2 linked regions of the Ovis aries genome follow. The protein of the gene in region 1 interacts with the protein of each later gene in a pairwise test. Links are inferred from orthologs where the notes say so. Each region holds a gene or a part of one and is shown on either strand. Other genes may lie near its edges.

What was found.
Region 2: the proteins of YAE1 (region 1) and LTO1 interact in binary tests that used the Homo sapiens proteins (3 or more experiments, as listed by UniProt). The link is inferred for Ovis aries from reciprocal best matches to the Homo sapiens genes YAE1 and LTO1.

Annotation. Positions count from the first base shown.
Region 1 is NC_056057.1:82,947,393-82,954,572, forward strand, and holds the start of YAE1 (protein YAE1 homolog), read right to left. Parts: upstream 4,099-7,180; 5' UTR 4,078-4,098; coding exon 3,874-4,077; intron 2,528-3,873; coding exon 2,406-2,527; intron 546-2,405; coding exon 116-545; 3' UTR 1-115. UniProt on the Homo sapiens protein: The complex LTO1:YAE1 functions as a target specific adapter that probably recruits apo-ABCE1 to the cytosolic iron-sulfur protein assembly (CIA) complex machinery. May be required for biogenesis of the large ribosomal subunit and initiation of translation.
Region 2 is NC_056074.1:43,305,953-43,312,956, forward strand, and holds the start of LTO1 (protein LTO1 homolog), read right to left. Parts: upstream 4,246-7,004; 5' UTR 4,127-4,245; coding exon 4,077-4,126; intron 3,732-4,076; exon of another isoform or gene 3,527-3,731; intron 3,286-3,526; exon of another isoform or gene 2,992-3,285; intron 2,623-2,991; coding exon 2,517-2,622; intron 1,449-2,516; coding exon 1,378-1,448; intron 1-1,377. UniProt on the Homo sapiens protein: The complex LTO1:YAE1 functions as a target specific adapter that probably recruits apo-ABCE1 to the cytosolic iron-sulfur protein assembly (CIA) complex machinery. May be required for biogenesis of the large ribosomal subunit and initiation of translation.

The sequences.
Region 1 (7,180 bases):
ATACCCTTACAAGTGAAGTGTAGAAACCAGTGCAAATTTTGGTTAGCTTGTTCAGAAACAAAATGTTCTAAAAATGTTCTGAACATCGCTTCCATTATTAAAGTGAAGGTAATTTTTATAGTTGCTTGAGGTGTTGTAATATGTCTATTGATACTCCCAGCTGTTTTACCAAACTGGCTGTCTGTTCTAAAATCCAAGTGAGGCTTGGGTTTTCAGGGCGTTCATGCTCCTGGGCTCTACAACATTCTAAAGATGAACAATCTACCTGACTAAGATTCTTACTACAGTTTTTGTTAAACTCAGCATTATTTTCACAGAATCTTTCATCTTTAGCTTCATCAATCTTTTCCTCAGCTGGAGCTACATGAGAAAGGTCCATATCCTGAAGGGAGTCCAATAAGTCTACAACATGTGGCTGTGAAGTGACTGATCTCAGATGTCTGAGCACATACTCTTCACACTGGCCAACTGCATCCAGAAGATTATTTATTTTACTGACCAAAGCCGAACTATCATCATGAAGGTGACACCAGGAGAGCAAAGCACTGAACGAAAATATAAATAAGAGTTAAAGAGGAAAAAATTAAACAATCAAAGGCTTTTAGAATTTTTGAAGCTAAGGCTTTCATGTTTCTCTTCTAGATAAAATCATGCAAAAATTATTAATAATAGCAATGTGAGTCAAAATCAGGAAAGTAATGATGGTAAAATAAGATTATAAATATAAGGACATTATCTTTCAACAGAAATTAAACAACTGGAGTTAATCATATAAACTGTTTATAATTCATAACCCCTCCTTCACAGGTCCTCATCGATTTTCCCTGATTTTATTTTCCCCTTATGATTGTGTAGCTTCTGTTGAAGATGGATACAACTCAAGAGAAAGAAAAGACCTGAAAAAATAGTTTTTCTTTTAAAGGCAGAAACCAGCTTCTAAACTAGTGTTTCTCAATCTTGGATGCACATCAGAATTACCTGCAAAACTTTTAAACCTTATCAAGGTCCAGGTCACACCTGAGACCAATTAAATCAGAATCTCTGGGGGTGTTATTTTTTTAAAAGCTTCCCAGCTGATAACAAGGTGTAACCAAGGTTAAAAATCACTGTTATAACCGTATAGCTGCTTGACATCAAAACTGAAGGTGAGGGGAAAAAAAGTTTTGAGACAACTCACTTTTCCAACTTTGTTAGATACTTTACTAACAATTTTATTGAAGGAGGTTAGAATTCTTCCAGTCTTAATAATTATTTTTCTTTACTTTTTTTTAGTATAGATAGTACTTTTACTTTCCTACATTCATATTATTCATCTCACGAAATAATGGTTATTGTGAAAAGTAATAATGTTAGCAATAAGGTTTTTTTTTTTTGCCATGTCACACAGCTTGTGGTAACTTAGTTCCCAGACCAGGGACTGAACGCAGGCCTCGAAAATAAAAACATGAAGTCCAAATCCACTGCATTGCCAGCAGATACCCTGCAATAAGTTTTCTAAGCTTATAAAAAATTAATTTAACTTGATGTGAAGATGAACACATGATCATTTTCTTACTATAGTATACTATAAATGCTGATTCCTGACAGCTGAATTTTATAAAACCTCAAATGTAATGAACTTTTGTATTGATAACTTTTTTCTAATTTTATTTTTAATTTTTATTTTTTTCTTGGCTGTGCCATCTTATGGCATGTGGGATCTTCATCTCCTGATAAGAGATCAAACTTGCATCCCCTGCATTGAAAGTGCAGAGTCTTAACTACTAGACTGCCAGGGAAGTCTCTGTCCTGTTAACTTTTATTGCATACCTTGTAAAAATCAGTGATTCTTTGAAGCATTTATGTTTTTCTCTATAGAGGACAGGTTAAAAGGTACAAAGCATCAAAGAGGACAAGCATGCCATGCTCGTAGCTCCATGTGCCTTTGGACCACTTGGTTCTAATACATGCCATTATTCCTATGACATCCTGACAGGTGTTCAACGTTCAGAAACAAAGTAAATGGAATACTTTTTCTGTTACTAGCTATACTCTTCATCAGGTATCGCTAGTCTAGACATCTGTTTTATTGTGTTCTGCCACATGTGCAAGAATAAAAACGTTACCCAAAACCTGAAGATTTTTTCAATTACTTTGAGATACAGATTGGTGGTAGTTCAGGTAGCAAAAAAGAAGACACCTTTGTATCATTTCTTTGCAATAAAAGATAACATCTGGCTCACATATTAAAGTGGATAACTGCTGACTTTTTGAAGGCAATTTTAGTCTATGCTCTGCAGTACCCTTTCATGGCTTTAACACTAGGGGAAGCAGTTCAGCTTACACTTTCTTACATATTACTTTCATCAAAACCCTCCACTAGTACAAAGGTTAAAATAATTCAGCATTTAAGTTTTAAAAATTACCTCAATGTTCCTCTAAGTTGTCCATAGTTTATGATGACTTCTGCACCTTCCTTATAACCTTGATTGAAGCCTTGTTGAAGAGTAACTGCTTTGCCAGCATCTATTCCATCTCTGTAGCCTTCCTAAATATAAGTAATGAAGAATTACAGTTGTAACTTAACACCAAGTAAACCAGTGTAGATTTTTCTAGAAAGTCACAGAACCAATTTAGAAACTGATGAAACAGGCCTCTATTGTGTTATTTAACATCATGGTTCTATAACATATGGCATAATCACACAACCAAAGTAGACTATGCTTCTCATAAAAGTTTATTGTTGGCTTATCCCATTTTTGTAGTCTAGATTTATTGGACACATTTTAAAATATTGATTCTACATATATACAAAAAAAAAAAAAATCCGTGTTAGCAATAGCTCCACAGAAAGGAAACATGGAGAATTAGGTGTCTGGTCCTTTAGAAACTGGATTGGTGTGAGTGGATAAGGCAGGGCAGGGTTACCAAGGTCTTGGAACTGGAGTAGGGAAAGAGGAAATTGGTATAGTAAAAGGAAGATGAGAGGGCTGGTTTTAGAAATTCTGCTTGATTTAGAAATTTTCCTTAATTTAAGTAAACTGAAAATCCTCTGTGCCCAAGGATTTTGTCCTGCCACAACACTCAAAAGGTGCTCAATATTTACTGGTTTAGCCCCAGCTTCACATAAGGCATTTCTGAAGTTGACAACATTGTTGTTGTGCTAAGCAAATATTATTTTACTGAGACATTAAACAAGGGCAGACTTAATGGCAATTTAATGGTTGGCAAGGACACTAGCAGGCACAGATCTCATCATTTGGTCCTCACCCTGAACTAAGCTCTGAAAGCTCCACCTGGAAATGGTGTGCGGTATTAAGCTGAGACTCAGTGAAGAGTCAGACAAATTAGATATGGATAATTCACACCCAACAAATTAAAAAAATACATTAATACTCCCTTAGGTAGCCACCACCATTCCTTTATTTTGTTCAGTCGCTCAGCCTTGTCTGACTCTGTGACTCCATTCCTTATTAGCTTTCTCTTACTGCCCTCTGACAGCATTCTTAAGTTCACTTTTTCCATCTGTCCTGATTAACACTACTCCTAACTTTAGGCTCCCCACTCATTCAAGCAACCCATGTCAACTGCCTACATGTCCTTTGACAGACATAATTAGAACAGTGTAAATGTTTCTCCTCCACCCCTTTTCCTCTGATGCCCATCAAACTGAAATCTCTTCAAAGTCTTTGACAAAGGTTATATTTTTCGGTCCCCGGTGTCCATCCAACACACTCCACGGGCGCTCGAGGAAAGCATCCTGTGGTGTAGCACGGTTTCAAGTAACCCACTGGGAAACTCTAGCAGGACATGGGCCAGACTGAATGGTACGGGAGAGGGAGGGCAGCGCCAGGCCAGGTCGCGACCACTCCGGCCTTCATCCTGGGACCCCACCTTCTCACAACTCCCAGCTCCAGCGCTAACAACCCGGTACAGCAACGGACCCCCGCCCTCTCCACGCAGCTTTACTTTGACTCGTCTCTGCATATGGCTCTGCCATTCCCGCTGCACCAGGAGCGACTCATCAGCTTCCTCGTCAAACACGTCCCCCTCCTCTTCAGGACCTTGGACCAAAGAAGCAGCTTGAACCCACGACATCACTGAGGCAACCACCGGGCTGCCGGACGCCGGAAGGGCCGGCAACTCCTTCCGGTCCGAGGGGCGGAGCGAAGACAGACTGCGGAGCTCGCGGCACCGCTGCGCGTGCGCGTAGATGTGCGTGGTGTCTGAACGCTGTGACCGGTTCACGGAGTGGTCACCGGTCCCAGGAAGGTCCTGGTTTCCCCTCGAGGCTTTTGCTCCCTGATATTTGGAAGTACCCATAACTAAGCTGGAAATGTCGCCGTGCACTTGTGGGCCAGGCGGAGCCCCTCTGACCTTGATTGCGGAAGGCAGCGCCAGCATTCAGTGAAACACTGTGCTCTTCTACCGTGGTGTCTGCTGGGGTCTGGGTTTTGAAGACGCGTGCATTGGCAAAACCCTTTGAGGTAGTTCTTTTGAGGCACTCCGTCATTCCCTAGTGGCTCAGATGGTAAATCATCCGCCTTACAATGCGGGAGACCGAGGTTCAATCCCTGGGTCAGGAGGATCCCTGGAGAAGGAAATAGCAACCCACTCCAGTACTCTTGCCTGGAAAATCCCATGGACAGAGGAGCCTGGTAGGCTACAGTCCATGGATTGCAAAGAGTCGGACACGACTGAGCTTTCTTTCTTTCAGTGCATTTAAAGGTTTGGACTGCCCGACTGTTTCAATTGTTAGGAGCGTGGAACAAAGGACATTAAAGAAGTTAAAATATTGCAGCCCTATTGAGATCAGTAAATATAGAGAGCGTTTATGAAACGAAATATATTTCTCATTGATTCACAGCATCCTTGTCTGACTCCTGTTCCTTCTGAAATGCCAGAAAAGACCACTGGTGAGGATGGAGACTTGTCTTTATATAAGACCCACAGAGATGTTATGGGGAGGGAGGTGGGAGGGGGGTTCATGTTTGGGAACGCATGTAAGAATTAAAGATTTTAAAAGTAAAAAAATAAAAAAATTAAAAAATTAAAAAAAAAAAATTCAGCACCGGCACTGTTCCGAATTGTAGTAGGTGTTGAAACAAAAGTTAATGAATGAGTAGATACCATCAGTATTCCTGTTTGGCCCTTTGCGTACTCATGTGGTAGTGTGTGTTCATAGCTCAGTCCTGTGTGACTCTGCAAGCCCACAGACTGTAGCTCTACAGGCTCCTTTGTGCATTGAATTCTCCAGGGAAGAATTCTGGAATGGGTAGCCATTCCCTCTTCCAAGGGATCTCCCCTACCCAGGGTCTCCTGCGTTGCAGGCGGATTCTTTACAGTTTGAGCCACCAGGGAAGCCCATGTGGTAATGATGATTTACTTAGCTAACAAATTTTCTTGAATATTTGCCTTGTGCCAGGCACTGTTATATGCTTTTGAGATACATCAGTGAACAACACACAGAAGTCCCAGCTCTGACATTCATGAGGAATTGCCAGAGGATAAGTAATAAACACTATATAAGTAAATTATACCGTTTGTTACAAGATTATGATACATGCTATGGAAAAATATTTAGAAACAAGCAAAGTAAAGAGAGCTATGGGTATGTGTGTGAGTGAGGGCAGTTAGGTAGTATATGTTACCATTTTAAGTGTTCAGAGAAAATTTTTTGTATATATTCAATATATGAAAAATATATGCAATACTTGGTAGGTCCATGGAATATATAAAAACATTGTGACACTTTGTAACAAAAAACCTTAATAAACTAATCATCCAATATAATTGATAATAAATAAGTTACTCCAATAATTTAAATTATAATTTAAATATAATATTGGACATAAGCATCTTCCTAAATAACATTTGAATCAAAAAGTAAATAAAAATTAAAACAATATAATAAGCAATAAAAATCAGAATAATTCGTACCAAAAAAACTTGAAAACAAATGAAAGCTGTCTTATTAGGCAATTCTGGAGGCTTTAATGTTTTTATTATTAAAGAAGAAAGAGAAACAAGACAGAATTACCATGTATCTTAGTTAGAAACAAACTGATAGTAAGGGAAGCAGTAAATAAAACAATTGAAATTAATAAAATACAAACACCCAAACTTGCATAAGTAATTCCAAAAGCTGGTTGTTTGACCCTGAATTAAAAAAAATATATATACAACATAAAAATGAGAAGGAAGGTAATGATACAGGAAAAAAATCAAATATTATAAATTACTGACTAAAACTTTGACACATTTGAAAACAGGTGATATGATGACTTCCTAATAAAATTTATCAAGCAAGTAGAAAACGTGAAGAAACTAATTACCATAGAAAAATTGGAGATTATCCACTATAAAAATAGCATAGAGATGAGAATTTTACAGTTAAATGCTTTAAATCCTTTTTAATCTTTAAAGAATGATGGATAAATAAATATCATTTTTTTACTCTTGTAGGGCACAGAAAAAGAAACTCCCTAAATCATTTCATGAAACCAGCTTTACTCTCATCTGCTAAAATTAATATGAAAGAACTCCCAAAGTTCAAGTTAGCTTGTGAATATGTATTTAAAAGAGAATCCAGTATCTTATCAAAATAATAATTCAAGAGGTTTTATTTCATAAAAGCAAAATGTTGCAATATTAGGAAACCTATATTTCACTGCATCAACAGTTTAGAAGAGAAACCATGTATTGTACTAATAAAAGCAGAAAAGTCAGTTGGGCTTCCCAGGTGGCTCAGTGCTAAAAAATTGTCCTGCCAATGCAGGAGACTCAAGAGACACTGGTTCAGTCCCTGGGTTGGGAAGATCCCCTGGAGTAGGAAATGGCAACCTACCCCAGTATTCTTGTCTGGAAAATTCCATGGACAGAGGAGCCTGGTGGGCTACAGTCCATGGGGCTGAAAAGAGTCGGACATGACTGAGCACAAACACACACACACACACTTAAAATTAAAAAAAAAGAATCATTCTTAAAATAATATAGAAAATACAAACTAATAAGGATTTTGTAAGAAAGTCCAACAGCAGGTACTATCCTAAACATTCAGATGTTAAGCTATTTCCCTTAAAGTAGGGAAAAGAGAGAACATCTGGTGATCACCATGATCACTCAGCATTCATTTGGAGATTAGTGAATTGCAAAAGAGAAGTAAACAAAGTAATCTGTATAAATGTTGGATAATAAGAAA
Region 2 (7,004 bases), on another chromosome or scaffold:
TAAACTGTAGAGGCTTAGAAAATCCAAAAGTCACTCCTCTAAGATGAAGGGATTTAGGCTGTGGTTCAGAGACCACCAGGCTCTGCTGGTGGGGTCGGGGCAGAGGGGCTCCGACCAGCCCTGACACAACCCACGTGCCCCTCCCCCGATGGAGCCTGGGGGCACGGCTTTAGGATGGCGGCGGGGTGGGGGGGGACCCTGCCCTGGGGTGTGAGTTGGCAGCCCCCAGGTACAGGAGCCTTCACACCCTCCATGCGCTGCAGACGCCAGCAAAGGGACAAGGGGAGGCTGCTGGAGAATTCCAAGACCAGGCGCGCCACCCCCACCTTCACGGGCCAGAAGTGCAGAGGCACCTGTAGCCCTGACCGGCACCCAGTGCTGCCACGCGCTGCCACCCACCGTCCCAGCCAGATCACCGGCCACGCCGCCGCCCGCTGGGTCTTTAGAGGAAAACCTCCTCAAGGTGGCCCTGCGCGGTGGACGAGTCTGGTCAGATCCCACTTGATCAGTGATGGGACAGGTCAGAAAGCAGCGACCCCAGAATCACCCAGACCCTGTCTCGAGCATCCCTGCTCTGACACATGAATATGGCGGTGGCACAAATTCTAGAAATTCAAAACATTCCAAATAAGATGACAAGTCACGTGGACGGGGGAATGCGGCTTCTGCGCTCTGTCACTCACATTCCTGGAGCCCCTCCCTGGCCAGGCAAAGCCACCGGGCATCCGAAGGACATGGGGCAGCCGCTGAAGCCCCGCGTAGGATCCCCTGAGCGGCAGCACAGCCTTTCACGGACGGGTGAAGAGTGAAGACCGCAGGTGGGGACAGGGTCCTGGGGCTTCAGGAAGTGGCACCTGTAACTTCTGACAGGTTCAGAAGGCTACACGCTACAGAGGACAGCTAACGGCTCCTTAGCGCTTCCTGACACGGGCAAAACACACGGGCCCGATCACCTTGTTAGACCTCCTGGCTACGTAAAAAGTCCCAGTGACAGTGGGGTCACCATTTCTGAACCTGGATCACACCCAGACTACTGTGCTCTGTTTATCAGAAGCTCAGGGGAAACGAGAAGATAAAATCGTTTTCAACCTGCCTTCACTGGCAGGGAGTGCTTGAAGGCCTCCAGGGAAAAGGCGGGGGAGATCAGAGGACCCTTGAGAAAACAGTAGGTGTTCATCCAACACCCCAAACGGGCCCGTACCTGCTAGGCACTATTTCCTGTAAACCTTGTAACAACTGCACAAGCTTATTTCAGCCCGACTGTTTTCTCCGGTTTACAGATGAGGAGACTGAGACTCTAACCCCCCGCGATCAGGGTGCACCACGGAACCGCAACTCTGGTCCAGACGCCAAAGAAGAAAGGAGGTTCCGCCTTACCTGTCTCTCTCAGTGGCGCAACTGTGCAGGAGACCTCTCCAAGCAAACGCGAAGCCTTGGTAGCACCCAATCTGTGAATTGACAAGACATTTAAGAGCACAATGAATAACCGAGCGCTGTATTTGATCTAATTATCAAGCTCTCAAAACTAAAGTGGGGGAGGACGGGAGGGGGCGCAGGGCGTGTCTTCTTGTGCTGGAGCAGGAAATGGAGGTCGGAGGTCGAGTTATCAGCGGGACAGCTGGCCTCCAAGGCGGCCCACTGGCCCCGCCTCCCACTCCACTGGTACTTGTGCCTGTGGGGTCTCCCAGCTGTATCGGGTGGCCGTGATGAGCAGAACACAGAAGAGGTGGCACGTGACCTCCGGATTTAGGTGTTAACGGGCAATGTCACCTCTGCCCTGCCCACCCAGGCCACCCACACAGGGTTAGGAGGACGCTTGGGCGGCTCTAAGGAGAAGTCCACATGCAGAAGATGCGGAGGGAGCAAGCCATCTGAGAAGTACCTCTTCTGGCCCCAGGCAAGCCTTCGAGTGGCTGACTTTTAACTCCAGCATCAAGAGGCCCTGAGCCAGAACCACCCGGCTCAACTGCTCCTGGACCACGGACCCCCAGGACCTCTGCGAGATAAGTAACACTGGTTGTCTTTAAGGCCACGTGCCTTGTACTGATTTCGTTTTGAAGCCACAGATGCCTAATACAGTTCCAGTGGTCTCAGACTTCGCTGTTTACAGCCAATCACCTGTAAGTGAGGGCCCATCCAGGACAAAAGGCAGGAGAAAAGGAAAACCGGGGAGTTTACGGGATTCCTGTGTAAATATCCACGGCACGCTCTCACACGACACCGGGGTGCTCACTCTCTGCAAGAGGACTCGGCACCACGACACTCGACATCCACTGAGGTGACGAGGGGCTTGTTTTTCCTCCAGCCCATCCACCTGCGTCATCGCCACACAGCCATAGGCTCTGCAGGCTCTGCCCTAGGAATACGCCTCCATCCACAGTCTATCTAGCCTACTGCCACTTTAAGAGGCCTGAAATTGTGGCTTGATCATACTGACCGTCAAGGTAAACTGTCAACAGTAAAAGAACAGGACTCCTTTCTAGGTGGTGGTGGGGCAGGGGGAGGTCCCCACTCACTTCAGATCCGACTTTAGCTCCATGGAGCGTGCCGTGCCGTCTCCCTTCGATCATACCCAAACTGCTTCCTTCTTCATAGCCTTCCCGGTACCCTTCCCCGTGAAACCTGCAACGGAGAAGCAGCAAGTCTGAGTGAATAAACAGGAGAAAGACGATTCTTCCTGGAAAAACTCATTCCTCCACGTGACCCAGACCTAGACCCAGACTGCAAGACGAGACCTAGCAGCATTAAAGAAAAATAAGAGAACCTAAACCATAAAACTTAGGTCCAACGTCAGCTCCACCCCTCCCCGAGCCTCTGCTGTGGCAAGTCGCTGTACTTCTTGAAGCCAAACTCAGCGCTTCTACAATGAGAAAGCTGGGCTAAATCAGGGATTCCCAAACCGGGGAGAATACTGGAAACACACAGGAAAATCCCAAAGATACAAATTCAGGAGCCTTGCCCTTATCTCACTAAAGTTCAGGAATCCGCTTTTTGAAATTTCCCCAGTGACTTAGTCAGCAGCCCCAGTTCTGTGAGTCTGTAAGCTAGACTGTTTGGGCAAGAGCTTCAAAACAGACAAACGAAACTCTGCCGTCTGCACCAGGCTTTTCCATTACACCTCAGGAGCCAGGCAAGGAGAAGCGCCATCTGCTGCTGCTGCTGCTAAGTCGCTTCAGTCGTGTCCGACTCTGTGTGACCCCACAGACGGCAGCCCACCAGGCTCCCCCGTCCCTGGGATTCTCCAGGCAACAACACTGGCTGCAAAGTGTACCATGACGGCAGGGCCTGTGGTAGAATAAAGGCTCTGACTTACAGGGGCCGGCAGCGGAACTGTCACAACCCACGGGCCACCGAAGTGAAAGGGGCTGGCTGGAGCACCCGGCGAGACCAACTGCGTCATTCCCACTTATACTGGCTCCCGCCCCCGGAGCGACCTTGCCTCCCCATCTCAAAGACGGGATCTAGTCCACAAGTTGGGATAAAACAGATAACGGGGGTACAAGGCTTAGTTCAGCCTGCAGCTCACAGCAAGTTCCAAATGAACTGTCAGCGACTGATCGCTTCCTGCTCCCTCTTTCTCAGGGACGTCTATCGATGTCTCAAGCGGGCTGGGCACTGGAAGAAAGCCATCAAAGCAGCCAAGAGCTTCACCACCCCCACCCGCCGCCACCCCTGCCTTGCCACAGCCCCTAGGCGCTGCCCAGGGGCTCAGGAGGGAAAAGGATGACGCCTGACACCTTGATGAGCCTGTCCGTGAATGCGGCCGTCTGTCCTATTACTGAGGAACGAGAAAGAGGTGGGCAGCGCCCAGATGGCAGAGGTCCGCGCCACCCGAGGACGGGGCGTCCCTGGAGGGAGGCAGTCACCAGGCCGAGCAGATGCATGGGGGCAGCCCCAGAGGAGGGAGGCGGGTCCTGAGGAGCAGCTGGGCGCCTGGCGCTCGCCCGAGAAGGGGAAGTAACAGCATCCTGGGCCCTCCCGCGCCGGATGCCCCCAGGGCCCCAGTGCGCTCCCCCAGGGCCGCAGCCCAAGGCTGAGAGCCGACACGCGAGGGCTGGGGGCCCCGACCCACCCACCTCTCATCTGCCATCACGACAGCGTCGAACATGTCCTGATCCCCGGCCATGGCGGCCACCGACCAGCCTCCGCCCGTCGGGCTCCGCCGCCCCGCGATGGAGCCGCGGACACGCGAGGCCACAACTCACGGAAACCCCGGCCACTCGCGACGCCAAGTTCACTTCCGGCGGCGACCGCGCGGGGCAGGCCGGGTAACGACGGCACGCCGGAGGGCTCAGCACTCGCCGGGGCGCTCAGCACTCGCCGGGGCAGGCCCAGGGCGCTTGCGCGGCGGCGGCGGCGCTGGGCGGGGCTAGGCCGGGACGCGGCCCCTCCCCGAGGCCCCTTGCCCCGCCCCCCGGCTCGGGCCGCCAGCCTGTTGGTCGGTCCCCACCTGGAGCATCCACTTGGCCACGCGGGGCTGACCCATGATCTCACTTTCCCAAAACCAGGCAGAGGCCACCGAACTGCCAACAGCGGCTCAGAAAGGACCAGGGAAAGAAACTTGGAAAATTTATCAAAGAACCAAACGCCTCCCGGAGCTCTGGGCCCTTGGGGTTTGGGGGAAAAATGTCCCAGGAAACGCAATTCGCGGAGTGGGGACAGTACCCAGACAAGAGTGGCCGGGTCCCCCGCCGACCCCGACCCACAGCCAGGGGCCACCTTCCAGGACCAAGTCAGACTTGAGACGCCCCACCTAAAAGGCCACTGAATCCGCGATAACAGTATTCCAGGGCATTTGGGCTTTTGTTCGAGAAACAACGCAGGGCTGACCCGACGCCCCGGGAATCTGAAACAGCAGTGGGTGACAGGAACAGCCGAGGTCCTCTTAACACTCAATGAGTAACTGTTGGCATCCGTTCTTAAAACTTTAGAGTTCTTTGAAAACTGTCAATAAAAGTGTTTGTGTTTTTATTCTTGCGGTTGTTTTTAAAGCAAAAGCAGAAAGGGGAAGTGTTGGTCGCTCAGTCGTGTTTGATTCTTTGCCACCCCATGGACCATAGACTGCCAGGCTCCTCTGTCCATGGGATTCTCCAGGGCAAGCATATTGGAGTGGGTTGGTATTCCCTTCTCCAGGGGAATCTTCCCAATCTAGGGACCGAACCCAGATCTCCTGCATTGCCGGCAGGTTCTTGACCATCTGAGCCAGGAGGGAAGCCCCAGTAAAAGTAGTGAGTGAAAGTGGCTCAGTCACGTCCGACTCTGTGCAACCCCACTGACGACACAGACCATGGCGTTCTTCAGGCCAGAATACTGGAGACGATCAACTCAGGGATCGAACCCCCATCTCCCACTTTGCAGGTGGATTCTTTACCAGCTGAGCCACAAGTAAAAGTAGACCTATTCATAATTCAGGCAGAGAGTCAAGAATCAGCACAAAAGGATTTGTAATTAACAACCCCCAGAGCCCTCTGTCCAGCTGAAGGCATCCCCCCTTAAAAAAAAAAAAAAAAGCTTCTAGTGTTAGTCCTCCCATTTGTCATTTCCATGGCAGGTACTTCCTGGACACGATTTTTAAAAGGTATGTCAAACTGTCAGCCACAGTGGAACATAGATATGAATTACCAAAAGTTTTCCTGTTAAAATCAGGAGTAAAGCGAGAATGCTTTGAACACATCCAGTAGACCTAATCAATGCAATAAAATTGAGCAAGAAGTCTTAACTATCTTTGGGGAAAAAAGAAAACAAAGTGCCATTATATGTAGGTGCGGTGGTCCATCTAAAAATTCCAAAATAAGCACTTAAGACCCTCTCAGAATTTGTAATACAGTTCAGTAAGTACCTATGCAGTTGAATCGCCAAAAAAATCACTTGCTTTTCGTTATTCGAACAATGATTAGTAGTGGTCTGAGCAGGGATACTCAGGGAAATCCACTTCACCATGGTCACAATAGTTTCTTAGAAATAAGGTTGAGCAGAACCTATACAAGAATAACTACCGCCCCGCCCAAGACAGGAAGACATGCAACCCCAGTTTCCACAGGATCTGGGGGAAATGTGTCAAACTCTAAATTCTATCTGGGAACTCCTCTGGTGATCCAGCAGTTAAGAATCCACCTTCCAGTGCAGAGGATACAGGTTCCATCCATGGTCAGGGAAGCAAAATCCCATATGCTATGGAGCAACTAAACCCTTGAGCCACAATAAAGACCCAGTGCAGCCAAAGCAATAGAAAATTAAAATAATAAATAAATTTCATCAGGATGAATAAGTTGGTAAGAATAACTAAGATGCTTTTGAAAGAGACAATGATATAGAGGACTTGCTATACCAGATGTGTAAAAAGAAAGTCTCCATAAAAATATGGCTTCCCGTGTGGCTCGGTGGTAAAGAACCCATCTGCCAATGCAGGAGACGTGGGTTCTGTCCCTGAGTCAGGAAGATCCCCTGGAGAAGGAAATGGCAACTCACTCCAGTATTCTTGCCTGGGAAATCAGTCCCATGGACAGAGGGGCCTGGAGGGCTACAGTCCATAGGGTTGCAAAGAGCCAGGCACAACTCAGTGACTGAACAAGAGTATCCAGAATAATACTGTAGCATGTTTGTTCAGAAATAGCCAGACGGATGAAATAGGGATGGAATGGCCTGGAAGGGGACTCGGGAAATGTAAAACCTTCCCACAGGATAAAAAGCACCATGAATTAATGGGGGAAAGGGATATTCATCAATCACTAAAATGGGAAAACTTGTTGTCTGGGAAAAGTCAAGTTCCATGTATTGTTATGCCCAAGTCGTAAAATCTCCCAAAGACCACCAGGGAGCCGATATCCGATGCAAAAGCAAGAGAGTTTTTATTACCAAGCTCGAGCTGGGGCTCCCACTGATACCAACGCAGCAGCTATAGGGACGAGCCCTGAGCTCTGGGTTTCATTGTTTATACAAGGTATTCTCGCGCGAAAAATTTGAAAACCGGGAGTTTTAGGGTTGGGAGACGCCTAACTGGTTAC